Anolis sagrei: one gene and its partners. The protein of the gene in region 2 interacts with the protein of the main gene of each other region in a biochemical or structural test. Links are inferred from orthologs where the notes say so. Each region holds a gene or a part of one and is shown on either strand. Other genes may lie near its edges. The genes, in order: PPP1R11, UBXN2B and PPP1R7.

Evidence for each region.
Region 1: the proteins of UBXN2B (region 2) and PPP1R11 form a complex in vitro, tested with the Homo sapiens proteins (2 studies listed by BioGRID). The link is inferred for Anolis sagrei from reciprocal best matches to the Homo sapiens genes UBXN2B and PPP1R11.
Region 3: the proteins of UBXN2B (region 2) and PPP1R7 form a complex in vitro, tested with the Homo sapiens proteins (2 studies listed by BioGRID). The link is inferred for Anolis sagrei from reciprocal best matches to the Homo sapiens genes UBXN2B and PPP1R7.

Annotation. Positions count from the first base shown.
Region 1 is NC_090022.1:23,182,181-23,192,696, reverse strand, and holds the start of PPP1R11 (E3 ubiquitin-protein ligase PPP1R11), read right to left. Parts: upstream 4,138-10,516; 5' UTR 3,839-4,137; coding exon 3,773-3,838; intron 1-3,772. UniProt on the Homo sapiens protein: Atypical E3 ubiquitin-protein ligase which ubiquitinates TLR2 at 'Lys-754' leading to its degradation by the proteasome.
Region 2 is NC_090024.1:48,750,555-48,760,933, forward strand, and holds the start of UBXN2B (UBX domain-containing protein 2B), read right to left. Parts: upstream 4,990-10,379; 5' UTR 4,773-4,989; coding exon 4,599-4,772; intron 1-4,598. UniProt on the Homo sapiens protein: Adapter protein required for Golgi and endoplasmic reticulum biogenesis. Involved in Golgi and endoplasmic reticulum maintenance during interphase and in their reassembly at the end of mitosis.
Region 3 is NC_090023.1:227,042,443-227,053,413, forward strand, and holds the start of PPP1R7 (protein phosphatase 1 regulatory subunit 7), read right to left. Parts: upstream 4,084-10,971; coding exon 3,876-4,083; intron 1-3,875. UniProt on the Homo sapiens protein: Regulatory subunit of protein phosphatase 1.

The DNA of each region.
Region 1 (10,516 bases), on a different chromosome or scaffold from region 2:
ATTACCATCTCTCACCGCCTTGAGGGGCCTAAAGACCATCATCCATGGCTGGCCATTTGGGACTGGACCTTGCCTTGTTGTTGCGGCTGGCTTTATGAAAAACTCATCAGTGCCCTGACATCGGCACCGGTGACTCCAGAGGGTTTTTTCCATCCCAGGTGCTGTCATATCATTGCTGCCACAGCCTCGGAGATCGCTGCCACCACTGCTGATATTAGAGGCTTCATCATTACTGGAAGCCTCCCGCTTATCTCAGCCAACATGGCCGCCATCTGCTATTGCTGTTCCTGCTCTCGGCTGTGATTACCCCTGCCTGCTCCATCACTCCAGTGCCTGATTGTTCAGATACCCTCTTGCTGGTCTTGTGAATCTTTCGGAGGTTTATCACACTGACAGGTTCCCTATGACCATTTTACACCTACCTCTTGGCCGTACCATCACCACCGGCTGCATTCAGATCCGTCCTCCATTGTGGCTCCCTCAACACCCGCCATATTGGATGACGACTTAGGAAGACTGGTCTATGGGCCTGGGCTACTTTGGGAGGGGGAAAGTGCCTTCACCTTAGACTTATTTTATATACTACCAATCTATGGATTCTAGAGACCTTGATTCATAAGATTTTGGAGCAAAAGGCTGCAGACCAAGAGCTGTTGCACTTTTACTGCTATTCGAACTTGCACTTTATAGTATTAATATATTACTGATGTGCTGTGGTAATAATATAATATATTGTATACACATATAATATTGATAATATTATAATGTAATACAATATAATAATAAAATATAAGAATTATATCTTTTATATTACATGTAATATTACTAATAAGATTACAGTATAGTGGTATAGTACAATATAATACTAATATTGTGCTGTGGTAATAATATAATATATTGCAGAGGTCCTCAAACTAAGGCCCGAGGGCTGGATATGGCCCTCTACGGTCATTTACCTGGCCCTCGCTCAGGGTCAACCTAAGTCTGAAACGACTTGAAAGCACACAACAACAACAACAACAACAACAACAACAACCCTATCTTATTAGCCAAAAGTGGTTCTACACTTCCCATTGAAATACTAATAAGTTTAAATTTGTTGAAATTGTTTTTCATTTTAATTATTTTATTGTTTTTAAGTGGGTTTTTTTGTTTGTTTGTTTTTGCACTACAAATAAGATATGTGCAGTGTGCATAGGAACTCATTTATTTTTTTTCAAATTATAATCCGGCCCTCCAACAGTTTGAGGGACTGTGACCTTGCCCTCTGTTTAAAAAGTTTGATATATTGTATACACATATAATATCATTAATAATATTATATTGTAATACAATATAATACTAATAATAATAATAGGTAAAGGTTTTCCCTGACATGAAGTCCAGTTTTTTTAATAGGCCTATTTTTAATAGGAACCCTCAAGCAACCAGAAACTACATTTATCCAGCATCTACTAATCCCCATGGGTCCCGGTTAATTGAGAGTCCACTGTACATTGAAAGAGTTGCTGTTAGTGTAAGGTGAAGATTTTCCTCTGACATTAAGTCCAGTTGTGTCCGACTCTGGGGGTTGGTGCTCATCTCCATTTCTAAGCCAAATAGCTGGCGTTGTTCCTAGACACCTCCAAGTTCATGTGGCCAGCATGACTCCATGAAGCGCCGTTACCTTTCCACTGGTATCTATTGATCTACTCACATTTGCATGTTTTTGAACTGCTAGGTTGGCAGAAGCTGGGGCTGACAGTGGAAGCTCACGATGCTCCCCGGATTCGAACTTGCGACCTTTTGGTCAACAAGCTCAGCAGGTCAGCACTTTAATCCACTGCACTACTGGGGGCTCCATAATAATAATAATACAATAATACAAAAGTAATAATAATACAATATAATAATTGTATATTTCATATTGCTTGTAATATTATGAATAATATTACAGTATACTGATGTAGTACAATATGAGAATGTATGTTACTAATATTGTGCTATACGGCTCCGGCCCAGTGTACTTGTCCGAACGTATCTCCTTCTATGTCCCACCACGGAGTTTAAGATCTTCTGGGGAGGCCCTGCTCTCGGCCCCACCTTTATCACAAGTGAGGCTGGTGGGGACGAGGGACAGGTCCTTCTCAGTGGTGGCCCCTCGCCTGTGGAATTCACTCCCCGGGGAAATCAGGTTGTCAACATCCCTCCTCTCCTTCAGAAGGAAGCTGAAGACATGGATATGGGACCAGGCATTTGGGTAATCTGGCAGATTAACAAGGTAACGATGACTAGAGTTGGAAAGGACTGTGGTAATGCTAAATGGATTGACGGATTTTAAAACTCGATGAACGCGGGCTATAGAGCGGTTTTTAGTTGATATTGTATTGTATTGTACTGTATTAATTGTTTGTTTTTAATCTATTGTGTTATTGCTATTGCATTTTATTGTAACTGTTGGCATCGAATTGTGCCGGATGTAAGCCGCCCTGAGTCCCCACTAGGGGGTGAGAAGGGCGGGGTAGAAATGACCGAAAGGGTTAGAAGGCATGATCATCAAGTTTGCAGACGACACCAAATTGGGAGGGATAGCCAATACTCCAGAGGACAGGAGCAGGATTCAAAACGATCTTGACAGATTAGAGAGATGGGCCGAAACTAACAAAATGAAGTTCAACAGTGACAAATGCAAGATACTCCACTTTGGCATGAAAAACGAAATGCAAAGATACAGAATGGGGGATGCCTGGCTCGAGAGCAGTACGTGTGAAAAAGATCTTGGAGTCCTCGTGAACAACAAGTTAAACATGAGCCAACAATGTGATGTGGCGGCAAAAAAAGCCAATGGGATTTTGGCCTGCATCAATAGGAGCATAGTGTCTAGATCTAGGGAAGTAATGCTACCCCTCTATTCCGCTTTGGTTAGACCACATCTGGAATATTGTGTCCAATTCTGGGCACCACAATTCAAGAGAGATATTGACAAGCTGGAATGTGTCCAGAGGAGGGCGACTAAAATGATAAAAGGTCTGGAGAACAAGCCCTATGAGGAGCGGCTTAAGGAGCTGGGCATGTTTAGCCTGAAGAAGAGAAGGCTGAGAGGATATATGATAGCCATGTATAAATATGTGAGAGGAAGCCACAGGGAGGAGGGAGCAAGCTTGTTTTCTGCTTCCTTGGAGACTAGGACGCGGAACAATGGCTTCAAACTACAAGAGAGGAGATTCCATCTGAACATGAGGAAGAACTTCCTGACTGTGAGAGCCGTTCAGCAGTGGAACTCTCTGCCCCGGAGTGTGGTGGAGGCTCCTTCTTTGGAAGCTTTTAAACAGAGGCTGGATGGCCATCTGTCAGGGGTGATTTGAATGCAATATTCCTGCTTCTTGGCAGGGGGTTGGACTGGATGGCGCATGAGGTCTCTTCCAACTCTTTGATTCCATGATTCTATGATTTGCTTCCCTCTCAAAGCTCTCCAGCCCCTTTTTACCTGTGAACGTGGGCGCTTCATGGAGCAAGCATGCCTCACAGTGCGTTGGCAGTGGCAGCCTTCAATGGGAAGGCCCACCTGGTGGCTGTCACCATCATCATCATCATCCTCCTTTCCTCCTTCTCCTCCTCCCTTCTCAGGGGAGAAAGAGTTCCTTCTCACGACCCACTGGTTGCTATAACAACCGCAGCACAGCCCCCCCCCCTCCTCCCTCCTCTTCCTCCATCAGCACCATCACCATGGTTGCTATGGCACTGGCACAAGGGCCACACCAGGCCTTCACCAAGCCCAGCCCTCGCTTCTCACCGGCTCGGTCACCTCCGTCTCGGTCAGAGTCGCGGTTGATCCCACGCTGGCCGCAGACTCCGCCATGGTTGTTGTGGTGGTCGTCGAAGAGGTGGTCGGGCGGGATGGGACCCTTTCGGCCGTGGCTCTTGTTGAAGGGGGGGGCCTTATCCGCAGGGTGCCCCGGCCAGGAATCGCTCACGGGGAAGCTATTTTCGTGGCCCCGCTTCAGCCACCTTCACTCAGACTCGCCTCTTCGCTCCACCTTCCTCCCAGGTGCAGCAAGCCTCTCCCCTCTGCCCACTTCCGGTCGGTCCCCCTGCTTCCGCCTCCCTCCGCCTCTCTATTTCCGTCCCTCACGGTAAGGCGTCCCCCAGCTAAGACTCCAAAGTCACTTCCGCCGTACTGGAGAAGAAGACAGAGCATGCGTAGGAGACAACGCGACTGGAACATGGCCATACAGCCTGAAAAGAGCACAGCAACCCAGACGCATGCGCAGTTAGAGGCAGAGCTTTCCAAGACTAGTATACTACTACCTCTCACTACCTCTGAGGATGCTTGCCATAGATGCAGGCGAAACGTCAGGAGAAATGCCTCTAGAACATGGCCCTATAGTTATGCTACTATAGTTAGAGGCAGAGCTTTTCGAAACTATACTACTATAGAGTTATTGTAGGTTTTTTCGGGCTGTATGGCCATGGTCTAGAGGCATTCTCTCCTGACGTTTCGCCTGCATCTATGGCAAGCATCCTCAGAGGTAGTGAGGTCTGTTGGAACTAAGAAAAAGGGTTTATATATCTGTGGAATGACTAGCGTGGGACAAATGACTCTTGTCTGCTGGAGCTAGGTGTGAATGTTTCAACTGACCACCTTGATTAGCATATAATGGTCTGGTATTTCCTTACGGTGCCATTAAAATACCTCCCTGCTTAATTGGTACCTATTTATCTACTCACAGCTGTTTTCGATCTGCTAGGTGGCATCAACTACCTAGATCAGTCACAGTCTGGTTTCAGGCCTGGTCACGGCACCGAGACAGCCTTGGTGGATGACCTCCGTAGAGAGCTGGACAGGGGGAGTGTGACTCTGTTGGTTCTCATAGAATCATAGAATCAAAGAGTTGGAAGAGACCTCATGGGCCATCCAGTCCAACCCCCTGCCAAGAAGCAGGAATATTGCATTCAAATCACCCCTGACAGATGGCCATCCAGCCTGTTTAAAAGCTTCCAAAGAAGGAGCCTCCACCACACTCCGGGGCAGAGAGTTCCACTGCTGAACGGCTCTCAGAGTCAGGAAGTTCTTCCTCATGTTCAGATGGAATCTCCTCTCTTGTAGTTTGAAGCCATTGTTCCGCGTCCTAGTCTCCAGGGAAGCGCAAAACATGCTTGCTCCCTCCTCCCTGTGGCTTCCTCTCACATATTTATACATGGCTATCATATCCCCTCTCAGCCTTCTCTTCTTCAGGCTAAACATGCCCAGCTCTTTAAGCCGCTCCTCATAGGGCTTGTTCTCCAGACCTTTTATCATTTTAGTCGCTTTTCTCTGGACATCTCAGCGGCTTTCAATACCATCGATCATGGTATCCTTCTGGGTCGTCTCTCTGGGATGGGTCTCGGGGGCATGGTTCTGTCGTGGCTCCGGTCCTTCCTGGAGGGTCGATCCCAGTTGGTGAAGCTGGGAGACGCCTGCTCAGACCCCTGGCCCTTGACCTGTGGGGTCCCGCAAGGCTCCATTTTGTCTCCCATGCTTTTTAACATCTACATGAAACCGCTGGGAGAGGTCATCCAGAGTTTTGGAGTTAGGTGCCACCTCTATGCAGATGACACACAACTCTACTACTCTTTTCCACCCAATTCCAAGGAGGCCTCTCGGGTGCTGGACGAGTGCCTGGCCACTGTGTCTATCTGGATGAGGAGGAACAAGCTGAAGATCAATCCCGACAAGACAGAGGTCCTCCTGGTCGATCGTAAACCTGACCGGGGTATAGGGTGGCAACCTGTGTTGGACGGGGTTACACTCCCCCTGAAGCCAAAGGTCCGCAGTCTGGGAGTCCTCTTGGATTCATCGCTTACACTTGAGGCTCAGGCGGTGTCTGGGAGGGCTTTCGCACAATTGAGACTCGTGCGCCAACTGCGACCGTACCTCGCGAAGGCTGACCTGGCCGGGGTGGTCCATGCCTTGGTCACCTCTCGACTGGATTACCTTAATGCGCTCTACGTGGGGCTGCCCTTGAAAACGGCTCGGAAATTCTAACGAGCAGCAGCCAGGATGTTAACTGGTGCTCCCTACAGAGAGAGGTCAACCCTCCTGTTCAAGGAGCTCCAATGGCTGCCATTTATCTTCCGAGCCCAATTTAAGGTGCAGGTGCTTACCTACAAAGTCTTGAACGGTTTGGAACCAGCCTACCTGTGTGACCGCATCTCCGTCTACGAACCCACGCGTTCACTACGCTCATCTGGAGAGGCCCTGCTCGTGATCCCGCCTGCGTCGCAAGCACGTTTGGTGGGAACACGAGACAGGGCCTTTTCCGTGGTGGCCCCCTGTCTCTGGAACACCCTCCCCAAAGATCTTAGACAGGCCCCTACATTGGCAGTCTTCAGAAAAAACTTGAAGACCTGGCTGTTGTGATGTGCCTTTCCCGATTAGGAAACCTCCAATACCAAGTCCCAGAAGCACTTTAGTAGAATTAAGACTGCCACACACTGCACTTGCCCTATAACCCTTACATTTCACCTGTCACATCAGCACTTTTTAATCCTGTACCCTTTACTCTGGCCCGGCCTAGTTTTATCTTGTTTGATGTATTGTTTATTGCTTGTGGTTTTGTTGTTTTAATACTGCTTTAATTGTTTTAATTTGCTTTAAGTGTATTGTTATGTTGTGTATTGAGGCCTTGGCTTTTGTAAGCCGCATCGAGTCCTTCGGGAGATGCTAGCGGGGTACAAATAAAGTTTAATAATAATAATAATAATAATAATAATAATAGGTGAGCTGTTGGAACAAGGGAAATGGGTTTATATATCTGTGGAATGACCAGGGTGGGACAAAGGACTCTTGTCTGCTGGAGCTAGGTGTGAATGTTTCAACTGACGACCTTGATTAGCATATAATGGTCTGACAGAGCCTGGAGCAAATTTTTGTTGAGGTGATTAGATTTTGTTGAGAGGTGATTAGACTGAAGACTGAAGACTGACAGGTCGGAGGTTAGAATCCAGGTAGAGCGCAGATGAGCTCCCTCTGTCAGCTCCAACTCCCCAGGCAGGAACATCAGAGAAGCCTTCTACAAGGGTGGTAAAACATCAAAACATCCAGGCGTCCCCTGGACAACGTCCTTGCAGACGGCCAATTCTCTCACACCAGGAGCGACTTGCAGTTTCTCAAGTCGCTTCTGACATGGGGAAAAATGCTTGTAATTACTGGCTATGCTGGATGGGGTCAATTTAGAAATGGAAATCCAAATCTCAACTCCCAAGTTCTGTCAAAGCAGCTTTAAATAGAGGACAACTTATTTTATTAAGCATTTCTGTTTAAATTCAGCAGCATCTGCTTTGCAGGATTTTTTCTTTCCAATTCTTAAAGCTTGGATCAAAGTTGGCAATTTTGGGTAAAATATCTTCCTATTTAAATTATATACGCAAAGTATAATCTTTATAAAGGAATCCACAGGGAGAAGGGGGGAACTCTGCAGGATATGTGTAGACAGTATCGAGTTATCATTAGGTGAGCATTTGATTCTTGCTCAAAATGAACAAGGTGCTTTTTGTTCCTTTATTATTGCACCGTCTGCGTGTTACATTTATAGCCCTGCTTTTAAGGTGGGTGAGATTTCCGTTCCAGCTGTAAAGTAGGTCACTGTCTCCTTCATGTCAGGCTGCAGGCTGAGGATTCAGACTGGTGTATTGCAGGCTTTAAGCCCCTATCCTGGAGCCAGGCTTAAGCGATCCCCCCAACGCTCTGTCATTGATCTTTGACTCCCTGCAGCCATTGAGATTCTTCAGATTCGGTCTGACAAGGACTTTAAGCGATTTGCTCATCGCTGTACAAAGAACTTTTAGTCTTTCCCTATGATAGAAAAACCATTTAAAAATACAGTATCTAAATTGGATATCATTAGAAAAAGACGTTTTGAAAATAAAACCACTGCTATACAATTCTGCCTTTATGCTAATTGAATCTAGAATATTGTGCACTTAGAAGAAATGTCAAAAAATGACATTGTAGAGATGGAAAAGTTGCAGAAACGAGCATCCACAGGGATCAACTGATAGAACAATGTCCATATGGGGAGGTGTTGAACTCGGACTATTTGTACTATTTTAAATGGTTTTTAATCTGATTTATTGTTTACTTATCATGTAACTGTTGTTTTTGGAGCCCCCAGTGGTGCAGTGGGTTAAAGCACTGAGCTGCTGAGCTTGTTGACCAAAAGGTTGCAGGTTCGATTCCGGGGAGTGGCATGAGCTTCAGCTGTCAGCCCTAGCTTCTGCCAACCTAGCAGTTCGAAAACATGCAAATGTGAGTAGATCAATAGGTACCGCTCCGGCGGGAAGGTAACGGCGCTCCATGCAGTCATGCTGGCCACATGACCTTGGAGGTGTCTATGGACAACGCCGGCTCTTCGGTTAGAAATGGAGATGAGCACCACACCCTAGAGTCAGACATGACTGGACTTAATGTCAGGGGACAACCTTTACCTTAACTGTTGTTTTATCTGTTGTATTTATGGGGCATTGAATTGTTGCCAGCTATAAGCCGCCCTGAGCCCCCTTTGGGGGTAGAGAAGGGTACCAATATTTGAAATAAAAAAATAAATATTTGGAATTGTTCCATGCCATACAATTTGATGTGGGAAACACATAAAAGATGTATAAAATATGGAGACAGTAGGAAGCTGCTTTTCCTCCTCAAGCATAATGTTACCCATGTAAGCTGCTCTGGTCCTCATTCCATGTAAGCTGCTCTGGTCCTCATTCCAAAGGGGAAGAATCTCAGGGCAAGAGCACTGCCTTGAAAGGTAAGTGTGCATTATGCTCATTGGTTAGAATCGGCCTTCTAAATGACCTATTTATTGTTCAGTTTAGGAGTCCACAGTATCTGTAGAACTCTCTTCCAGCTATACATTTCAAATGAGTTGACAGATTTCGTTGTTGTCCTGCTTTCACAGCAATACATAGAAATGGGAAATACAGTGGCATGGGCAATCTTAACTTTAGAATAATAGAATCTCATGGTTGGAAGAGACTGCCAGGGCCATCAATTCCAACCCCTTTCTGTCATGCAGGAATCAAAGTACTCCAAACAGATGGTCATCCAGCTAGCTTAAAAACCTCCAGAGGAGGAGACTCCACCACTCTCCCAGGCAGTATCTTCCACTGCCAAACAACTCATACCATCAGGAAGTTCTTCAGGAATTTTAGTATTCAATGCTGTATCTTTATACTTCTAGTTCCATATCCTAGCTTTCTCCTGATCCCTTGTACATTATGATAAAAATAAATCATAATTACAATAACATGGATATTCAGTGATATAACTTTACACTTGACAACCTTATCTAGTTCATTCCTAGCTGTTCTTCCAAGTCTCAGTCTTCTGATTTATTTATTTACTATGTGTCCCCTGCCACATGTTGCTGTGGCCCAGTCTGTGTATATGTGTTTTGTGTGTGTTTATATGTATGTATGTATATATTTGTGTATATGTGTCTATATGTAGTTTTGACAATGCATTGTAATGTATTTTTTTATTATTATTTTGGCTTTTAATCTGTGTTTTTCAGTGTTTTTATGAGTGATTGTCACTTGTTGGCCTGATAGGTGTATTGTGTCCAAATTTGGTTTCAATTCGCCCAGTGGTTTTTGAGTTATGTTAATCCCACAAATGAACATGACATTTTTCTTTATATAAATTATTTAGCACACTTTTATCACACCCTTTTCAGCCCGAAGGCAACTTTATTATTTATTTATATTTGCGGTATTTGTATACCACCCTTCTCAACCCCAAAAGGGACTCTTTACTCCAGTCTCCATTTGTGAATGAAGGTGCAGAAAGTCATCATCCACTGTTTTTTAAATTTTTAAAATGTATTTTATTTTATCGCGTCAGAAGCGAATTGAGAATATACTGCAAGTTGCTTCTGGTGTAAGAGAATTGGCTGTCTACAGAGATGTCGCCTAGGGGACGTCCGGATGTATTACCATCCTATGGGAGGCTTCTCATATCCCCGCATGGGAGGCTGGGGCTGACAGACAGGAGCTCACCCTTCAAACCACCGACCTTCAGGTCTTCAGGACAGCAGTTCAGCTGGCACAAGGGCTTAACCCATTGCACCACCGCGGCTCCCTATTGTCCACTATAAAGTTACATAAACCATCTGATAGTTTACATAAACCATCTGCCTTCATCCCAACGGCCACTTCCCTGGCCTTGAAGGAAGAGAAGAGAAGGCAGGCAGTTATCTGATGGATTCAATTCCCTCCCTCACTTCCATTCCCTTTTTCCTTTTGTGTCATGTCTTAATTAGATTGCAAGCCCAAGGACAGGGAACTGCTTTGTTGCTGTTATTAGTAAAATGCCATGTACAGTGAGGATACTATATAAATAAATGATAATAATAAATAACATTTTTGTTTTCTTAATATTAAACAGCACTCCTACTTCTGCACTTTTACGAAGCTCTTGCTTATAACTCAGACATTAAGTTGACATGGTGAAGACTATTAGATCAGCTGTCAGAATTTAAGACACAATTGAAGACTCTTC
Region 2 (10,379 bases):
TTAATAGTTTCTCACAATCTACAAAATCAGAGGCTTTGCAATACTTTATAAAGCACAACCTAATTATCTTTTGAAATTATTTGGTTTGCTCCATTATCCAACATATATTTGCAGTACAATCTTAGTACTCTTCCTTTTCTGGACCCAGCTTGGATGCCTGTCTTTTCGCTCTCCGTTTCACTGAATTGCATTAACAGAATATTAAGATGGAATATTAATATTCAGAGGTATCTATAGAAGTGATTCCCAAATCCAGAGTCTTAGATGTTGCTGAACCACAACTCCTTGAAACTCTACCCAACATGAATAAAAGAACGATGATATAATAATAATAATAATAATAATAATAATAATAATAATAATGAGGAGGAGGAGGAGGGTATATCTACATTTGGGAAACACCAGTCAAAATCAGGGGAAATTTATCATCTCTATAGGCATCTGATTCACAAACCCAGCTATCATGAAGGCAAGATTTTGTGGCAAAAGTTTTGTGAGTTTTGTCATCTTGACTCCGCAATGATAGCACAAACTATTCCAATCTCATTGTTTAAAAAGTGCATAACTATATACATTCATGTTTTGTTTTGTCACATTTTGCCTTCCATGTTGTCCTATACTGAGTGGTGCACGTGGGCAAGATAAATATCTTATATCATAGGATATTAGAGAAATAAAACTGCGTGCTGAGCAGTTTATATTATGGGTTATATTGGCATCATTACAACTCACTTAAACCAAGAGAAAAAAAAATCCACAAGAGACCCAGATCAAATAAAATGCTGCTATTTCTAACCCACAAACACTATAACTTGGCAATCTTTTGCTAAATGTTCAAGGCTTTATTGCAAGTGATTTTCCTGATAAGTAAAATACATTTAGACAGAGTAAAAATACATCTACACAGCATGGTGTTTTCTGATTAAAGCAGAAACCATTATACAAAGGGACATTTATTTTCTTACAAATAGTTCTTGTGGGTTTTTTCGGGCTATATGGCCATGTTCTAGAGGCATTTCTCCTGACGTTTCTCACTTTCTTATTATTCTTATAATTTATAATTATAAATTATTCTTACAAATAATTTGTTAAAGCTACAAAATTGTAGAATATACACACAAAACATATTTCATAGTTTGAGATGCTGAGTAAGAAAATACATCACCAGAGTTTTATAAACTCTAATTTCTAGAATAAACTCCTTCCTTGCTTCCAATATTTCTGTGTCATAAAAGATAAGAAAGCATACAGTGGGTCCTTGGTATGCACTGGAGTTTGTCCCAGGACTCTTTGCGGATACCAAAATCAATGGATGCTCACACTATATACAGAGGCTTAGTAAAATAATGTTCCTTATATCAAATGCCAAATGTCTGTCATTTGGAGACACACACACACACAGGCAGTACAGTTACAAACATCTGACATACAAAGGATTCATATTTAAGAACAGGGAGAGAAAACAGGAAATGAGAGAAATCTACCTATAGGAAGGGAAAATCATTCCTGGAAGAATTATCATGGGGAAAAGATGTCTCAACTGAAGCGTTCTCACCAATCCTTGTTTCCACAAAAAGCCAATTTTTTCAAAATCCAATTATTACAGGGATAGAAAGTGAGGTGAAATCTTCTGAGTTATACTTTAAAAAATACATTTTCCGACTTACAAACGAATTCAGCTTGAGAACAAACTATCAGAACCTATCTTGTCAGTAACATGGGGACTGCTTGTATATATAGGTGATTGAATCCGTAGCTACAGAATCCATGAATAAGGGGTTCAGATTATTTTTAACAAGTAAACAAAAAAAACAAACACCCAGTAATCATTTAAAAAATTAATCAAATGGTGAGCGTAGAAGTAACATTGCGGAGCAGTTTCTCTATCTGTCAATATCACCTTACTTGGAGCCCTACACAATAGAAGTGAAAGTACTTTCTGTACCTATACATAGGAATACACTGTCACAGCAATTTTAATGAGCAGCTCTTATCCTGAATTCTAAAAACCCCCAAATATTCCAAAACCTCAAACTATCCACTGAGATAGTGGCTGAGATAGTGACAACTTTTCCCCTGATGATTCCACATACACTTTATTACATGCACAAAATTATTAAAATATTGGATACTGTTCCATTATCCAGGCAGAGGTCACTAGGAGATGCTACAAAGAGAAGGATGGTCCATTTTACAGTGAGGGAGTTGATGAAAACCATTCCCCCCATTTTTGCTGCTTATTGAATAGTTGCCTACGTGTAAAGCCATCTTGAATCCCCTCGAGAAGGTGGGATAAATATGGTAAATAAATACATAAATATTTCCACTTCTCATATCATAAATGAGAGTTTCTTCCACGACGGGGACATGGGTGGTGGTGGGGGGGTGAATAACAGGAAAATAGGGGGAAATGATTTTATTCCTTCATCCTCTACCCCCACAACATTCCCATAAAACGGACCATCCATCTCTCTTTAGTGCCCCCTAGTGGCTTCCACCCAGATAATGGAATAGTACCAAATACTGCATATGAAATTATCTTCAAAGGATGCGTATATGAAACAAACATAATAAAAATAAACTGTATTTCTTTCTCGCCTCTCTTCATAGCTGGAGGCAGGGTACAACACAATAAAAATACATAGATAACAGCATAAGACCATGAAAGCACATATATTAAAAGACACAGAACTATGATTAAAACACATTAAAATAATCCATACCAGGCCAGGGCAAACTTTGGCCCCCCAGGTGTTTTGGACTCAACTCCCACAGCAGGTATGCTGTTAGGAATTGTGGGATTTGAAGTCCAAAACACCCGGAGGGCTGAAGTTTGCCCAGGCCTGATCCATACCAATAAAAGGCAAGTTTACATTGTGCTGTCAAAGGCTTTCATGGCCAGAATCACTGGGTTGCTGTGAGTTTTCTGGGTTGTGCTTCTGGAACCTGGCAGCCCGGAAAACTCACAGCAACTACGTTTACATTCATAGGTTGAAACTGACTGGATAAACGTGGAGTATGTTTCCAAAAGGTACCCTCACAAAAAACAGAAAAGAAAAATGAGGTGGCAGCACATTGATGGCTTGGAGTAGACTATGGTGTTATACATATTACACATATAAAAGTTATCAAAATGCATTAAATCATTTAGGTACAGAGTTTGGAAAAAATGTTTGCTATAGCGTAAGAATATGTCAGACGTTTTTAAAAATTCCTGTAAAAAGTGTACATTTTATCTTTTAGAAATAAACTCCACAAACGGGTTTGGTGTTGAAGCCCTTTCATTATGTATAAAGAAGTATTCCGAACTGAAAGAGGAAAAATCCGAGATCATGGCCCCTTCCACACAGCTGAGTAAAATCCCAAATTATTTATTTATTTATTTATTTATTTATTTAGTAGTTTTATATACCGGTCTTCTCACCTCCGTTCGAGGGACTCAGGCCGGTTTCCAACATCAATATTACAGACAGTCATTAAAACATCATATTCTAAATCACACTAAAACATTAAAATAGCAAAATACAATCATAATCATAATTACAGTGGTCAGTCGTCATCAAAAATCATTATTCGTCGTCATCCATCCATATCACAGGATCATGGCTCATTTGTTGAATGCCAATCACCAAAGCTAAGTTTTCACCTGTTTCCTGAATGTTAAGATAGAAGGGGCAGTTCTGATCTCCAGTGGAAGGGAGTTCCAGAGTCGAGGGGCCACCACCGAGAAGGCCCTGTCTCTCGTCCCCACCAGCCACGCCTGTGAGGCGGTGGGATCGAGAGCAGGGTCCCTCCAGACGATCTTAGCAATCTTGATGGTTCGTAGGTGAGGATACGTTCGGACAGATAAATTGGGCCGGAGTCGTTTAGGGCTTTATAGGTTAAGACCAGCACTTTGAATTGTGCTCGGAAGCTGACTGGCAGCCAATTATCTGCTTTATTTATTTATTTATTTATGACATTTATATGCCGCCCTTCTCACCCCGAAGGTCAGAGCGGCTTACAAGTAAAATACAGTACAATAAATAAAATAAATACAATATCTGTTTGGACCCCTCTCTTTAGGCTAGTCTCAGAGCAGCAGTTGGTGTTGGGGGGAGGGGCTCCCAACTGACACCGAAGACAAGATGACAACCCTAAAATCCCAAATTATCTGCTTTGAATTGGAATATATGGTAGTGTGGACTCAGATATCCCAGTTCAAAGCAGGTATTGTGAGATTTTCTGCCTTGATATTCTGGGTTATATGGCTGAGTGGAAGGGCCCTGCTTCCATGCATTTCTGATGAGGGATGCTCAATCTGCATTTAAAAAAATAACTCTCCGTATAGCCATGGCTTCCCTGCACTGGGAACGCATTCCTTCCAAGACTGACGTGACAAAATGTGTCGTCATCGTCAGGGGCACGTTTGCTTCCCATTTGGGCGGAGAAAAGACCCCTAAATCTGTCTGAGCCAAAGAGGAAGGGAGTCATGGGCTTGGCCCACTCTTCCGAACCACCCCAAGGCATCAGGGCTCGGGTTTCTTCTGTAATTCAGGAGGAGGAAGGAGGCGAGAGGGGGCGAGGCCCTTGGGCCGCACACACACTGCCTTCCCTACCTGCAGATCCCGGACGGTGGGCGGGCGGCCGCTTCCTCGGGGCCCTTTCTCCCGCCTCCCTCCGCTGGTACCCGCTGCTGCAGCCGCCTCCGGTTCCCTTTTTTCCTTCTCCTTCTCCTCCTCCTCCTCGTCTTCCTCCTGAGGCCGCTCGGCGAGTGTCCCATCGTCCGCCATCTTCGAGCTGGGCGAGTGCCAACTGCCAAATCCAGAGAGAGGAGCACGCGGGAGGGCGGTTGGGCAGGCGCGCGCCCGCTCGCTCGCTGAGGAGTTCTTCCGGCAGCGAGGGTTGCTATGGCGACCGGCTCGCAGGTGCAGGGCCCACGTCGGTTCCGCTGGTCCCCAAAGCCTCCTCGCTCGAGTTTCTTGCCTGTCTTCTCGGGCCCTCCCTCCGCCCCGCCCACTCGCACCTGTTTGCGCGTGCGCCGTTCCCATTGGCTGGCCCGGCCGTCACTCTGGGTTGACAGGACTCCGAAGGGAGGCGGGCCCAATGTGTGTTATCCTTTCAGTTCAGGGCCGTCACAGGTTGAGCAGCCCTCACACCGAAATTTTGAGGGGGCCAGAAAGTGTTTGGGGCCCCATCTACTACTATATAATACAGTTTGAAACTGCATTATATGGCAGTGTAGATGGGGCTCCCAGTAACTTCTGGTCCCAAGCATATCGGTGTGAACTTGGCAGAGAAATCAAAACACCTTGTAAAACTACAACTCCCATGATTCCATAGCATTGAGCCGTGGCAGTTAAAGGAGTGCCAAACTGCATTCATCACACTGTGCAGATAGACCCTTTCTGATTCGTATATAATTGACTCTCAGGCTGGATCTGTCATGTAAAACAATTCCAGAATGCAGATTAACTGCATTGAACTGGATTTTATGACAATGTAGACTGATAAAATCCAGAATATAGTTAATTTGGATTCTGAAACTGCATTATTTGGCCGTGTCGATGGAGCCAAAGTTAACCGGCACCCATGGGAATTGGTACATGCTGGATAAATCTAGTTTCTGGTTGCCTGAGAGTTATTATTAAAAATGGACGTAACTACTACTATGCCATATCTAAACTCTGTATTGACTTGATATTCATACTGAAATACAGCAACAGCAAATAATGAAAACTAAAGACTAATTTAATATAATGGGTTTATGCTTGATTTAATGAATGGTTATGTTACATTGTTTATGTTGTTTTTGTTAGCTGCTTTGGGTCCATCCGGAAAAAAAAAACCTGCATATAAATTCCAGAAATAATATAATATAATACAATTTAACAATAAATACATGTCCTTTAATTTTATTTAAAGTATTATTTATTTGAATTTTTTGCTGGTTGCTTGAGTTCCGGTTAACCGAGAGTCCACAAAAGCTTACATTCATTAAACATGTTAGCCACTAGAATCAAAGAGTAGAAAGATACAGTCAACGCAGTACTAACAAATGGCCATCCAGCCTCTGCTTAAAAATCTCCAGAAAATTGGACTCTGTCACCCTATAAGGCAGCACATTCCACTGCCAAACAGCTCTTAACTTCAGGATGTACCGAACGAATCTCCCCTTATGAACCTGCAAGGACTTTAAGATTGTCTGGAGAGGCCCTGCTCTCGGTCCCACCATCATCACAAGTACGGTTGGCAGGAACGAGAGACAGGCCTTCTCAGTGGTGGCCCCTTGGCTATGGAACGCCCTTCCTAGGGAGATTAGATCTGCTTCCTCGCTCCTATCATTCCGGAAGAATCTTAAGACATGGCTATTTGAGCGGGCATTTGAAAATACAGAGTAAAGGATATAATAATGGAATAACTATATGGACATTGTTTTAATGATTATCGATTGAAGTATGTGTCATTATAATGTTTGGTTTTATTGTTGCTGATGTATTTTATATTGTATGTTGTAATTGTGTCCTTGGCGGCATTGAATTCTTGCCTTGTAAACCGCCTCAAGTCGCCAGAAGGCTGAGAGGGGCAGTATAGAAATGTACTAAATAAATAAATAAATAAAATAAAATACTTCCTAATCTTTCTTGGACTATTTATTTATTTACCTTGGGAAGCCAGACTTGGCCACGGTGGTCCACACTCTTGCTACATCCAAGATAGAATACTGCAACGCACTCTATGTGGGGTTGCCTTTCAATAATAATAATAAATAAAAAACTTTATTTATATCTCACCACCATCTCTCCAAGGGGACTCGGGGCGGCTTACATTTGAAGACTGCTCAGAAACTTCAAATAGTCCAACGAGAGGCAGCCAAGTCAATAACTGGGGCTGCATACAAGGAGCATACAACTCCCATGTTGCCCCAGCTCTACTGGCTGCCAGTTTGCTACTGGGCACAATTCCAAGTGTGGGCCTTGGCCTATAAAGCTCTAAATGGCCCCAGCCCAATTTACCTGTCCGAATGCATCTCCTCCTATGAACCATCACAGAGATCCTCCATCCTGCCATTGTCACAAACGTGATTGGTGGGGACAAGAGAGAGGGCCTTCTTGGTGATTGCCCCCCCCCCCCCGGCCCGAGTGGTGAGATAAAATAGGCCCCCTCCCTCCTGTCCTTCAGAAGGATGGTAAAAACTTGGCTGTGGGACCAAGCTTTTGGGACAATGCAATAAAACAGTGATAGGAAACCTTTTCAGGCCATTTATTTATTTATTACTATATTTGTATATCGCCCTTCTCAGCCTTTTGGGCGACTCAGGGCAGATTAGACACAGATTATCAAGACTTTTAAACAGTGTATTTTAATATTGACTTTAATATTATTTTGTATTTAATTAATGTATTTTAATATTGATAAAATGTTTTTAATGTTTATGTATGCATATAATGAATTCATGTCCTTGGCATTGAATGTTTGCCTATATATACTGTGCTCTGCCCTGAGTCCGCTTCGGGATGAGAAGGGCAGAATATAAATGTTTTAAATAAATAAAATAAATTTATTTATTTACTGTATTTCCCCCCGCTCTATCTCAACCCTGAAGTGGCTTCCAAATTGGCAATAATTCAAATCCACATTAACATAAGACAAACAAAATACAATACACCTTGTGCGTTAAAGCATGAAAATAATAAAACGCTAACATATAAATATACAAATAAGCTGTTAAAAGATTACACATAGACTAAAAACCATAATCCAGAAGCCGTTCCAATCACATAGCCCTGTGTTACTCTCCAAATGCTTGGTTCCATAGCCAGGTTTTAACTTGTTTTCTAAAGGATAGGAGGGAGGGGGCTGATCTAATTTCACTGGGGAGTTTCACAACCAAGGGGCCACCACTGAGAAGGCCCGGTCCCTTGCCCCCATCAGCTGCCCCAGTGAAGAAGGTAAGACTGAGAACAGGCCCACCCCCAAAAAGATCTTAGCACCCAGGATGGTTTATAGGGGGGATGAATTCGGGCAGGTGAGCTGGGCCAGAACCATTTAAAATCTAGCATTTTGAATTGTGTTCAGTAACAAATTGGCAGCAAGAAGAGTTGACGCAGCATAGGAGTTGTACGTACCCTACATGCCACTCCGATGAGCAGTCTGGCTGCTGCGCATTGGGCTACTTGAAGCTTCTGAACAGTCTTCAAAGGCAACCCCTTGTAGAGTGCGTTGCAGTAATCTAATTGAGATGTAACAAGAGTGTGGACAACTCTTGTTAGTCTGGCTTCTCAAGGGACAGGCGCAGCTGGCGCACAAGTTTTAATATCGCAAAAGCTCCCCTGGCCACCGTCAAGACCTGAGGTTCCAGGCTCAGTGATGAATCCAGGAGTACTCCCAAGCTGAGAACCTGTGTCTTCAGGGGGAGTGTAATCCTGTCCAGCACAGGTTGGACCCCTATACCCTGTTTGGCCATTCAACTGACCAGAAGTACCTCTGTCTTGTTTGGCTTCAATTTCAGTTTTTGAAATATAACAATTAATTTACTCCCTATATGCCAAAATTTATTGTTATTGAAAAGAGAAAAGGCTTTTCTCCTTTTTAGAGGATGCACATAAAATGTATTTAGAAGACTTTGTTAAAAACAAGCCTTTGGAGAGACATTCTTCACCACTAGGTGGTGGTGAAGTAACACTTAATACTCACTAAATATATTAATTTTGCTTTTTCCTTTTTTTCTGTAATGTATTGAAAATCACAACAGCTGTTTTACAAACCTTATTCATGGTACACTAAATTGCAGTTCAATAGTAAAGTTGTTATTCAAAGCTGGTAGCCTGCTATTTTTGACATCTAAATTTGTTATACGCATTTTGTAGAAATACGTTTTAATATATGTATATATAATGTTTATGATGATTATGTGTTTTTAGCTGTTTTATAACCTGCCTTGAGCAACAAGGAGAGGCGGAAAAGAAATAAATGATGATGATGATGATTGGAGGCAAAAAAAAAAAAGACTACAGTTGTCCTTCAACATTTGCAGTTTTGCCATTTGTGGATTTGATTGCTCACAGATAATAACAATAACAACACCTTATCTATATTCCGCATATACAGAGACACAAGGCAAACATTCGATGCCTCAGAACAATGAAACACAGACACACAGATAAAGGTAAAGGCTCTGGGGGGTGGTGCTCATCTCCATTTCTAAGCTGAAGAGCTGGCGTTGTCGGTAGATACCTCTTAGGTCATGTGGCTGGCATGACTGCATGGAGTGATGTTTACCTTCCTGCTGAGATGGTACCTATTGATCTACTCACATTTGCATGTTCTTGAACTGCTAGGTTGACAGGAGCTGGGGCTAACAGTGAGAGTTCACCCCGTCTTGCGGATTCGAGCCACCAACTTTCCGGTCAGTAAGTTCAGCAGTACAATGGTTTGGAGTACATTCTTAGTTAATGGACTAGATGTGTTTCTGGGCTTTACTTCTCTAACTTTACACCACGAAGAAAGAAAAGTAGGTCAACAAGTTTCAGTGGACTTTTAAAAAAAATCTAAAACTAATATTATATTCATGTAAAATTAAACAACCAGGTTAGGTAAGCCTTGCATAAATAAACAAACATATTTTGAACCTTCTAGAGACCATTTTAAAGCTTCTTCCAAAATGTACCCAGGGATTACTTTTTTTCTTTCAACAGCTTCCACCTTTCTTACTATTTCTTACTATTTCTAAAATGTATACAGGGTTCTAAACTAAGATAGTGTGTGCACTCTAGTTTCTTTCTTCTTCTATAATATGTATGGCTTTAGATTTCCTACCCACAACCAAACAGGTTTTTCTCCTCCTAACTGATCAGCAGGCCTATTTTACTTACCACCCAACACCCATAGCCCTTTGCTAGGCAAATCTGGGGCTGATGGAAACTGCAGCTGTGGGGCCAATGGGAACTGAAGCTGGTCAGGTGTTGGGCTGATGGGAGTTGCTGCTTCATAAAAGTCTTCAGCTGATGAGAGCAGCATCTGACTAGATGTGGGGCTGGTGAGAGTGCAAGAGGGCAGTAAAGCCTTGCTATGGAGATTTCAGCCAGCAAGGTGTGCTCAGTACCTGAGGGACAAAAAAGGTACTGCTTCATGCTTCAGGCTGGTGAATTATTGTGCTTCTTATATCAATTGATGTGCCTATGTAATGCCTAAAAAACTCAGAAACTCCACAGGGCAAGTACCTCCAAAGACAACAAAAAATAAATTACTATGAAAAAGAAAATGGAAAATAGTGTAAATACTATTTAAAATAACAAAGGATTGTAAAAAAAGGGATATTTTTCCTCACCTCTCTGTATCCCTACAACTGTAAAAGCGAACAATTACTTTTTCTAATGAATAGCATTCAGGCTGGTGTA
Region 3 (10,971 bases), on a different chromosome or scaffold from region 2:
ATGTCTTGCAAACATTTCACATGGCAGTAATTGAATTAATGGGGAGGTCATGGAGCTCATATGATCTGTCTGTTGCATACTGGCTTAATAAATAAAGATGTAACTTAGTCTTGAATCCCTTTAAGCGGCCAATTTGTACTTTCTTGACTTGTGTAAGTGTATAAGCTGTAGTACCAGTCTCTGGCCTCTTGCATTCAAAGTCATAGGATTCATTCATTTCTTATGGTCTATCATTCTGCAGTACTAAAAACACAGTTGTCACATTCAAATATGTAAGTGCCGAAAAGGAATTTATTACATACATGACAGCAAACACTTTTGCAGACATATTACATGCAGCCAAACAGCAGTTCTGTTAAATGGTCTCATATATACTGTATTCACAATCTACTATGTGCTAAAGTATATATTTACACAGATAAAAAAATATCTCATCATGGACTACACCAAATTTAAATGTTCTTTTTGTATACATTTATTTATTTACTGTATTTTTATCCCGCCTTACTCCCCACAGAGACTCAAGGCAGTGAGCAATGACATGACAGAATACAAAATCCATATACATGTGAATATAAATATATACTTTTGGCTCCTCCATATGCATGGATTCAATCATCCATGACTTGAAAATACCTTGTTCCAAAAATTCAGATAGCAAATCCTGTTTTTTTCATTTTATATGACACTAATGATTTTACTGTGCCAATGTTTATAATGATATATAACTTGAGCATCCACAGATTCTGGGTCCCATGAGAGATCCTTGAATAAAATGCTAGCAGATATCAAGGGCCCACTATACAGTGAAGATGCCATTCTTTGACAAAGGACAGAAGAGAAATGTAGTAAATAAAAGCATAATGATCAAGAACAAATTTCTCCAAACTCATTGAGTTTGGAGAAAAGAATATATAACCAAGTATTTGGGTTTTAGTCTCTATACTGCCCTGTAACAAAGTATCCCATTTGTTATTTTTCAAGGTAAATCTCAGCAGGCAAAGGCTGAAGTTAGGGCTAGCCCAGGCATGGGCAAACTTAGGTCCTCCAGGTGTCTTGGACTTCAACTCCCACAATTCCTAACAGTCGGCTGTTAGGAAATGTGGGATTTGAAGTCCAAAACTCCGGGAGGGCTGAAGTTTTCCCATGCCTGGTAGAGGGTTCAATTTGGGAAGCAACTCATGGGAAATAAAGAAGAATCAGCAAAGGACTATAAAAGATGGGTAGGAGTTGCCTTAGCTATGAGTCAGTAGCTGCTAAAGTTGACATTCTAGGAGGCAGTGAATTGTGTGACTTCGGGCGAAGCTGTCAAATGCAGCTTCTTCCTAAAAATCTTCCCCAGGTGCACCTACACTGGAGAATTAATGCAGTCTGGCTGCTCTTTAGCAGCCTCATCTCAATGGTATGGAATCATGCGATTTGTAGTTTTATGCAGTCATTAATTTTTTAACTCGCATCTTGTGTTCGCTATATTTTAATCTTTGTTCTGTGTATTTTAAGATATGTATTTCTTTTTCTTTCTTTTTTTGTCGTGTCAGGAGCATCCTGTTGTGAGAGAATTGGCCGTCTGCAAGGACGTTGCCCAGGGGACGCCCGGATGATTTTTGATGTTTTATCATCCTTGTGGGAGGCTTCTCTCATGTCCCCGCATGAGGAGCTGGAGCTGATAGAGGGAGCTCATCCACCTGTCCCAGGATTCGAACCTGCGACCTGTCGGTCTTCAGTCCTGCTGGCACAGGGCTTTAACCCAGTGCGCCACCGGGGGCTCCTATGTATTTCATTGAACTATGTTTCAATATATGTATTTTACGTAATGGTTGTGTGTTCTTATCTGTGCTGTAACCTGCCATTACAGCAGGTAAGAAATAACAACAACAACAATTACAACAACAACAAGTATTCTAGTTTGGGAAAGCACCAACACTCCTTCACAGAGAAGGATAATAATAATAATAATAATAATAATAATAATAAGCCATTATCAAGACCTCAAAATCAAAGTGCAAAGGCTCTGGCATAAACCAGTACAGGTGGTCCCAGTGGTTATCGGCACACTGGGTGCTGTGCCAAAAGATCTCAGCTGGCATTTGGAAATAATAAACATTGACAAATTCACAATCTGTCAATTGCAAAAGACCACTTTACTTAAATCTGCACGCAACATTCGAAAATACATCACACAGTCCTAGACGCTTGGGAAGTGTTCAACTTGTGATTTTGTGATACAAAATCCAGCATATATATCTCGTTTGCTGTGACATACTGTTTTTGTGTCAGTAAAATAATAATAATAATAATAATGTTTATTATTCATAATAACGGTGGTCCCAGTGGTGATTGACAAACTGGGTGCAGTGCCTAAAGACCTTGACCAGCACTTAAAAACAATTGGCGCTGACAAAATCACCATCTGCCAACTAAAAGGTCACCCAACTCAGATCTGCATGCATTATTTGCCGATACATCACATAGTCCAAGACACTTGGGAAGTGTCCAAGGTGTGATCCAATACAAAAGCCAGCATAGTGATCATGTTTGCTGTGTACTAATCTTGTTGTGTATCAAATAGTAATAAGTTTTATTTATATCCCACCTCCTCTCCCGGAAGGAACTCAGGACGGTTTAAACAGTTTAACAGTAACAGTTAAAACAAAACATAGGTCAAATTAACATAACTTAAAATAGATCAATTGCAATTACTGAAAACATATAAATACACAACATATTATCATCATCCTAGTAATCCTTCTTTGAAAAGAGTGCTGGTGTTTCCTCAAACTGGGGGCCCTTCCACACAGCCCTATATCCCAGAATATCAAGCCAGAAAATCTCACAATATCTGCTTTGAACTAGGTTATCCGAGTCCACACTCAGATAATGTGGGATTTCCTGCCTTGATATTCTGGGGTATAGGGCTGTGTGGAAGGGTCCTGGAAATCCTAGGATTCTATAGCATTGAGCCAGGAGAGTTGAAGTGGTCTCAAACTGCATTAATTCTGCAGTGGGGATGCGCCCGAAATGCAGAAACAGCAACAGCAGAAGAAACAACAGGAGTACTATCTACCTAATGCAAGGAGAACTACTGCATTTCTCTTTAAGTAGAGAAGGATTAATTAAGCCCTTGCAAAACTCCGGCTCCCAGGCTGTCATAGAATTGAGTCATTAACAGTTGAAGTGATGTCAAAACGCATCGATTCTACAGTGTAGACCAGGTATGGGCAAACTTGGGCCTTCCTCCAGGTGTTTTGGACTCCAACTCCCACCATTCCTAACAGCCTCAGGTCCTTTCCTTTTCCCCCTCAGCCGCTTAAGCAGCTGAGGGGGAAAAGGAAAAGACCTGAGGCTGTTAGGAATGGTGGGAGTTGGAGTCCAAAACACCTAGAAGGCCCAAGTTTGCCCATGCATGATGTAGAGATGGTGGCAGGCAATGAAAGGAGCTGCCCCAGCACAAAAATGCAGAATTAAAGCGGGTTAATCTCGCTAGAACAGCCATGGCTCAATGCTATGTGATGCTGGGAGTTGTAGTTTAGTGAGGCACTGGCCCTCTTTGGCAGAGAAGCCTAAAGGTCTTACTAAACTCCTATGATCCCACAGCATTGAGCCATTGTGGCTAAAGCGGTGTCAACCCTCATTAATTTCACAGTACAGATGCACCCTCGCTCCCATCTGAGGCCTCTTCCACACAGCTGTACAAAATCCACATTGAACTGTATTATCTGGCAGTGTGGACTCAGATAACCCAGTTCAAAGCAGATAATGTTGATATTCTGGGTTCTATGGCTGTGTGGAAGGGCCCTGGGTCTCCACTGCCTGATAATCTGGAATAAGAAGACAATCTGGGATGAGATCCTGGGACAGAGGCAGCATGCACTCACCCTCCATCATCTCCTGCGCGCCCTCAGACTCAGCCGCCGCCATAACGCTTGGCAGTCCCTCCTCCTCCTCCTTCCGGCATCGGCCCCAGTTTCGCGGGCAGCCAATGGGAAGCCACATCGGGGAGGGCTCCAGCCAATCGGGAGCGCCACTTCGCCGCAGAGGTTCCCTTGGGAGTGCCGGCGCATGCGCGGAGCCCCGCCGCCCCATGGGAAATGTAGTTTTTCTTTCCCAGGGATTTCAAGGCTGGTGGTGGGATTCAGTAGCAAGGAGCCAAGCATTGTCGCCTCTTGCATAGCGTGAAAGGGTTTAAATCACCAAAATATATATTATATTATATGGTACTGTAATATAAAGTAAAGGAGGGGGATTACATTAGTAACATACCATGGGAAGATCATCAGCTCCTACTAGCGATGCTTCTTGCTCCAGATATTGGGATTTTGGTGGATGGTTTGTACGTGCGATTGATGGGGACATCTAGGATTTTTTTCCTGTTCTGGTGTTAATGTTTTTTTATTCTGTTGTTTCTCATTGCCATACAGAGCAGACTCTCAGGCCACTTCCTCACAGCTGAATAAGATCCTATATTTGTTTGTTTGTTTGTTTATTTACTATATTTGTATACCGCCTTTCTCAGCCTGTGGGCATGCTGGTCGCTTCTGTGGTGAGAGAATCAGCCGTCTACAAAGACGTTGCCCAGGGGACGCCCGGATGTCTTGCAATCCTGCGAGGAGGCTTCTCTCAGCCAGCACGTCAACGACTTAAATCTAGACATAGTTTTCTAAGATCTACAGAGACACTCGCTGGAATACCTCAGCAAGTGAGAGTCCAAAAGTGGAGGCTCAAACCCAGAACCTCAACCAATGGCTGATACCAAATGAGAGACTCCCCCCTGGGCACACAGAGGACTCAGCGACTTGGAAGGCGCTGAACAGACTGCGCTCTGGCACCACGAGATGCAGAGCCAACCTTCAGAAATGGGGCTACAAAGTGGAATCCTCGACATGCGAGTGCAGAGAGGAGCAAACCACTGACCACCTGCTGCAAATGCAACCTGAGCCTTGCCACATGCACAATGGAGGACCTCCTTGCGGCAACATCAGAGGCACTCCAAGTGGCCAGATACTGGTCAAAGGACATTTAATCAACTACCAAACTCACAAATTTTGTATTATGTCTGTTTGTTTGCTTTGTTCTGTTAGAAATGTAATATAATTGACTGGCTGTTCTGACACGAAATAATAATAATAAAAAGCCTGTGGGCGACATGTTCTGGTGTTAATGTTTTTTTTTTATGCTGTTGTTTCTCATTGCCATATAGAGCAGATTCTCAGGCCCCTTCCACACAGCTGAAAAAAAAATCCCACATTTATTTATTGGTTGTTTGTTTGTTTATTTATTTACTATATTTGTATACCGCCTTTCTCAGCCCGTGGGCGACTCATGGCGGTTTACAGAGGCAAAATTCAATGCCCAAACAACATAAAACATTTAAAACATTAACATATTAAAAAGATCTTGATCCTCGTGGACAACAAGTTAAGCATGAGCCAACAATGTGATGTGGCAGCAAAAAAAGCCAATGGGATTTTGGCCTACATCAATAGGAGCATAGTGTCTAGATCAGGGGTGCACAAACTTTTTAAACAGAGGGCCAGGTCACAGTCCTTCAAACTGTTGGAGGGCCGAATTATAATTTAGAAAAAAATGAATGAATTCCTATGCACACTGCACATATCTTATTTGTAATGCAAAAAAACCTTAAAAACAATACAATAATTAAAATGAAGAACAATTTTAACAAATACAAATTTATTAGTATTTCAATGGGAAGTGTGGGCCTGCTTTTGGCTGATGAGATAGGATTGTTGTTGTTGTGTGCTTTCAAATCATTACAGACTTAGGTTGACCCTAAGCGAGGGCCGGGTAAATGACCTTGGAGTGCCGCATTCGGCCCCTGGGACTTAGTTTGAGGACCCCTGGTCTAGATCTAGGGAAGTAATGCTACCCCTCTATTCTGCCTTGGTTAGACCACACCTGGAATATTGTGTCCAATTCTGGGCACCACAATTCAAGAGAGATATTGACAAGCTGGAATGTGTCCAGAGGAGGGTGACTAAAATGATAAAAGGTCTGGAGAACAAGCCCTATGAGGAGCGGCTTAAGGAGCTGGGCATGTTTAGCCTGAAGAAGAGAAGGCTGAGAGGATACATGATAGCCATGTATAAATATGTGAGAAGAAGCCACAGGGAGGAGGGAGCAAGCTTGTTTTCTGCTTCCCTGGAGACTTGGACATGAAACAATGGCTTCAAACTACAAGAAAGGAGATTCCATCTGAACATGAGGAAGAACTTCCTGACTGTGAGAGCCGTTCAGCAGTGGAACTCTCTGCCCCGGAGTGTGGCGGAGGCTCCTTCTTTGGAAACTTTTAAACAGGCTGGATGGCCATCTGTCAGGGATGCTTTGAATGCAATATTCCTGCTTTTTGGCAGGGGGTTGGACTGGATGACCCATGAGGTCTCTTCCAACTCTAGGATTCTATGATTCTATATAATATATAATCATAATAAGATCAATAAAACATTTCCGTCTCCTAGTTAAAAACAAGGTCCAGTCTTGTCATCCAATCGTTCCATATTCCTATGTCTATTACACTGCCTTAAAGATTTCCAAACACTTGCTCAAACAGCCAGGTCTTAACTTTCCTCCGGAATGTTAAAAGCGAGGGGTCTGATCTGATGTCCTTTGGAAGGGTGTTCCAGAGCTGAGGGGCTACCACTGAGAAGGCCCTGTCTCTCACCCCGCCAAATGTATTTGTGACGCAGGCAGGATCGAGAGCAGGGCCTCCCCAGATGATCTTAACGTCCTAGTTGGTTCATAGGAGGAGATGCATTTGGACAGGTAAGTTGGGCTTTATAGGCTAAAGCCAGCACTTTGAATTGTGCCCAAAGCAAACTGGCAGCCAGTGGAGCTGGCACAACAGAGGAGTAGTATGCTCCCCGAGCGCCGCTTCTGTTAGTAACATTATCTGCTTTGAACTGGAATATAGAATTATAGAGTTGGAAAAGACCTCATGGCCCATCCAGTCCAACCTCCTGCCAAGAAGCAGGAAAATCACATTCAAAGCACCCCTGACAGATGGCCATCCAGCCTCTGCTTAAAATCCTCCAAAGAAGGAGCTTCCATCACAGTCCAAGGCAGAGAGTTCCACTGCTGAAAAGCTCTCACACTCAGGAAGTTCTTCCTAATGTTCAGGTGGAATCTCCTTTCCTGTAGTTTTGTTATGGCTGATAGGAGAGATAATACCAAGAGCGATCCTTTGTTTGAGGCGGAAAAGGTATGTTTATTTTCAGCTGAGACCCTGGCGTGGAATCACGTCCAAAAGCCAACTAGAGCCCCAATAAAGGATTGACTTTACCTTATATACATCTTCAAATGCAGGTAAACAAAGAAACATGCTTCTACATACATAAAATCATCACTATGTCACTTTTGCATCATAGACATATAAAATTATATCTTCCTACATGCAAGGGGCATGTCTCTATATTTTTTTTCTAAAGCAGCTTACAGCAATAGAGATAACTAGAATTCAGCTTACATAGATCCACCAGGGGCTTACTTTTGACCTGTCAGGAGGGAGGGAGAGAAACTCCTTACTTTTAGAAGTAAGAAGATATGGCCTGTGCTAAGCTATATTAGTCTTTGTAGTGTATAGATAACATACCCCCCCTTCTCCTCCCCTTTCAACACAGATCTCCTTCAGCATTCCTCTGTCCTGTCAGCTTGGCTTCCTCATACAGAGAGAACCTGATTTTTCTATACTTCAGTGCTTCTAATGTATATACAATATATGTATAAATATCTATATTCCCAATATCTCGACATCCATTTGAAGCCATTGTTCTGCGTCCTAGTCTCCAGGCCGGCAGAAAACAAGTGTGCTCCCTCCTCCCTATGACCTCTCCTCACATATGGATACATGGCCTTCATCATGTCTCCTCTCAGCCTTCTCTTCTGTAGGCTAAACATGCCCAGCTCTTTAAACCTCTCCTCATAGGGCTTGTTCTCTAGACCCTTGATCATTTTAGTTGCCCTCCTCTGGACACGTTATATGGCAGTGTGGACCCAGATAACCCAGTTCAAAGCCGATATTGTGGGATTTTTTTATGTCTTGATATTCTGGGTTATATGGCTGTGTGGAAGTGCCCTCAGTTAATACGCACCCATGCCGGATAAATATAGTTTCTGGTTGGTTGAGAGTTATATATTTAAAAGGCTCACCATACTATACCAATGCCATAAACTCTGTATTGACTTCATGTTGAAATACAGTAATTAGAAGCAAATAAAAGACAAACTCAATAGAACACAATTTTACTGTTTTTACTGTGTTATAAATTGCCTTTATTTGCTTTTATAATTAATTCTATTTATTTTATTATCATTTTGCCATTTGCTTGAGTGCCGTTTAAATGAGAGCCTACTATATATTACATTCATGCATTTATGGATAAGCCTGTCTAAAAAGCATAAGGGCCCTTCCATGAAGGCATATAACCCAGGATATCAAGACAGAAAATCCCACAATATCTGCTTTGAACTGGGTTATCTGAGTCCACACTGCCATATATTCCAGTTCAAGGCAGATAATGTGGGATTTTATGCAACTGTGTGAAAAGGGCCTAAGAAAGAGTCAGATTAAAAATGAGCTGCTTCCAAAAAAAGGGAGACAGAATGAAGGCTTTTCTTGGCTATCCTACTCTCAGTGATGGAAACAATAGTGGCATTCTGCCATTGAATATGGATGCATTGGTATGCATACTCTATACACTCAGGATGTGCTTGCACTGTAGGTTTAATGCAGTTTGGCCACATTTTAACTGCTATGGATCAGTACTACAGAATCATGAGAGCTGTCGTTTTATAAAATATGTTTTCCTTCTCCAAAGTAGGATGGTACCAAATTACAATTCCCAGGACTCCATAGTATTGATCCATGGCAGTTAAATTGGTGCCAAATGGCATTAATTCTGCAGAGTAGATGTGCCCAAAGTCATACTGCTTTTGACTAATTCCCTTTTTAAAAATTTTACAAGCCTGTAATAATAATAATAATAATAATAATAATAATAATGAGAAGAAAGCCCTGCTTCTCGAGATTGAATGTTATTTTCTTATATATTCTGCCTCTTTGGAAAAAAGCAGAGATACCAGTTTAGGAGTGATATATTTTTAAAATTGGATCTTTGTTTGCTTGAATGTTTAAACTTTTATGTGAAATATATAATAACATGCATTGTGTCATTTTAAATATTAGTTTGCTAATAATAAAAAAATATTTAAACCATATTTACTACCGTATTTTATCATCTGTGACAAATTTCCGTAATCAAGTACTATATACTAAGTATATTTCTTCTGGCTACCCGATTAATTTCATAGGCTTTTCTTAGCTAGTTATGTAATATAATAATAATAAAGGTAAAGGTTTTCCCCTGACATTAAGTCCAGTCGTGTCTAACTCTGGGGGGTGGTGCTCATCTCCATTTCTAAGCCGAAGAGCCGGCATTGTCCATAGACACCTCCAAGGCCATGTGGCCGGCATGACTGCATGGAGTGCCGTTACCTTCCTGCCGAAGCGGTACCTATTGATTTACTCACATTTGTATGTTTTCAATCTGCTAGGTTGGCAGAAGCTAACCTAGCAGATTGCCGCTCCCTGAATTCGAACCTGTGACCTTTCGGTTAACAAGTTTAACAGCTCAGCAGTTAACTTACTGCACCACCGGGGCTCCATAATAATAATAATAATAATAATAATAATAATAATAATAATAATACGCTTTATTTATAGTCTGCTTTATCTCCCTGGAGGGACTCAGAACAGATTACGGAACACATATAAGGCAAGCATTCAATGCCTTTTTACACAAACAATGACATACAATAAGGTCATTGTTTGTGTAAAGGCCACCCCCTTTTTCCATTTCTGGCATCTGGAGGCAATGTTCAACCTCCAGCCATGGGGAAGGGCTCTTGTTCCATTTTCCATGCCGAAGGAGCCTGCTGTCCATAGACATCTCCGATCTTTTTGTCAGCATGGTTGCATGGGGAGCCCTTTAAACCTTCCCACAGAGGCAGTACGTATTGATGTACTCGCATTGCATGCTTTCGAACTGCTAGGTTGGCAGAAGCTAGGACTAACAGCCGGGAGCTCACCCCGACTCACAGCTTCAAACTATTGACCCTTCGGTCAGCGGCCTTTTCTGCAGCTTGCAGCTTTAACCACTGTGCTACTATGGCCTCTATCTAATATTTAATATAAATATTGTGTTTTGCCATTACAGTCAAACCTCCATACTTGTGGGTTTGACTTTTCCAGATTTGATCTTTCATGGATTTCATTAAAGTGTTCTCTGTAGGTCTTCCAGTGCAACTTTATGACCAACCTCTGCCATAAGTTGATCATAGAGTCATGTTGAAAGACAAATGAGTTCCTAGTGAGAACATTTCTCTAGGAATCTCTAGGTTTTTCAGTGCAATTCTATGGTCAATATTTGATGGAAGTTGTGCCGGACAACCTCTGAGGATGTTTGCCATAGATGCAGGTGAAACGTCAGGAGAGAATGCCTCTAGAACATGGCCATATAGCCCGAAAAAACCTACAACAACCCAGTGTTTCCAGCCATGAAAGCCTTTGACAATACATGTGAAAGCATTACTTTCCAACCTCTGATTTACATATAGTTAATGTACCTGTCTCCATTATACATTTATTGTAACCCCAAATATATTCATTGGGATGTAACACTAATTAAACACTATAGGGGTGCATTTATACTGTAGAATTAATGCAGTCTGACATGGTGTAACACTATTGAATCCTGGAACTTGTAGCCTTCCTTGCCAATCAGTGCTGGTGCCCCCCAAAAACCCCCACAACTCCCAGGATTTCATTGAGCCATGGCAGTTAAAGCGGTGTCAAACTGCATTCATTCCACTTTGTAAATGTACTCTAAAGCTATTAAAAATTTATTTATTTATTTACTGTAATTGTATACCGCCTTTCTTAGCCAATTGGCGACTCAAGGC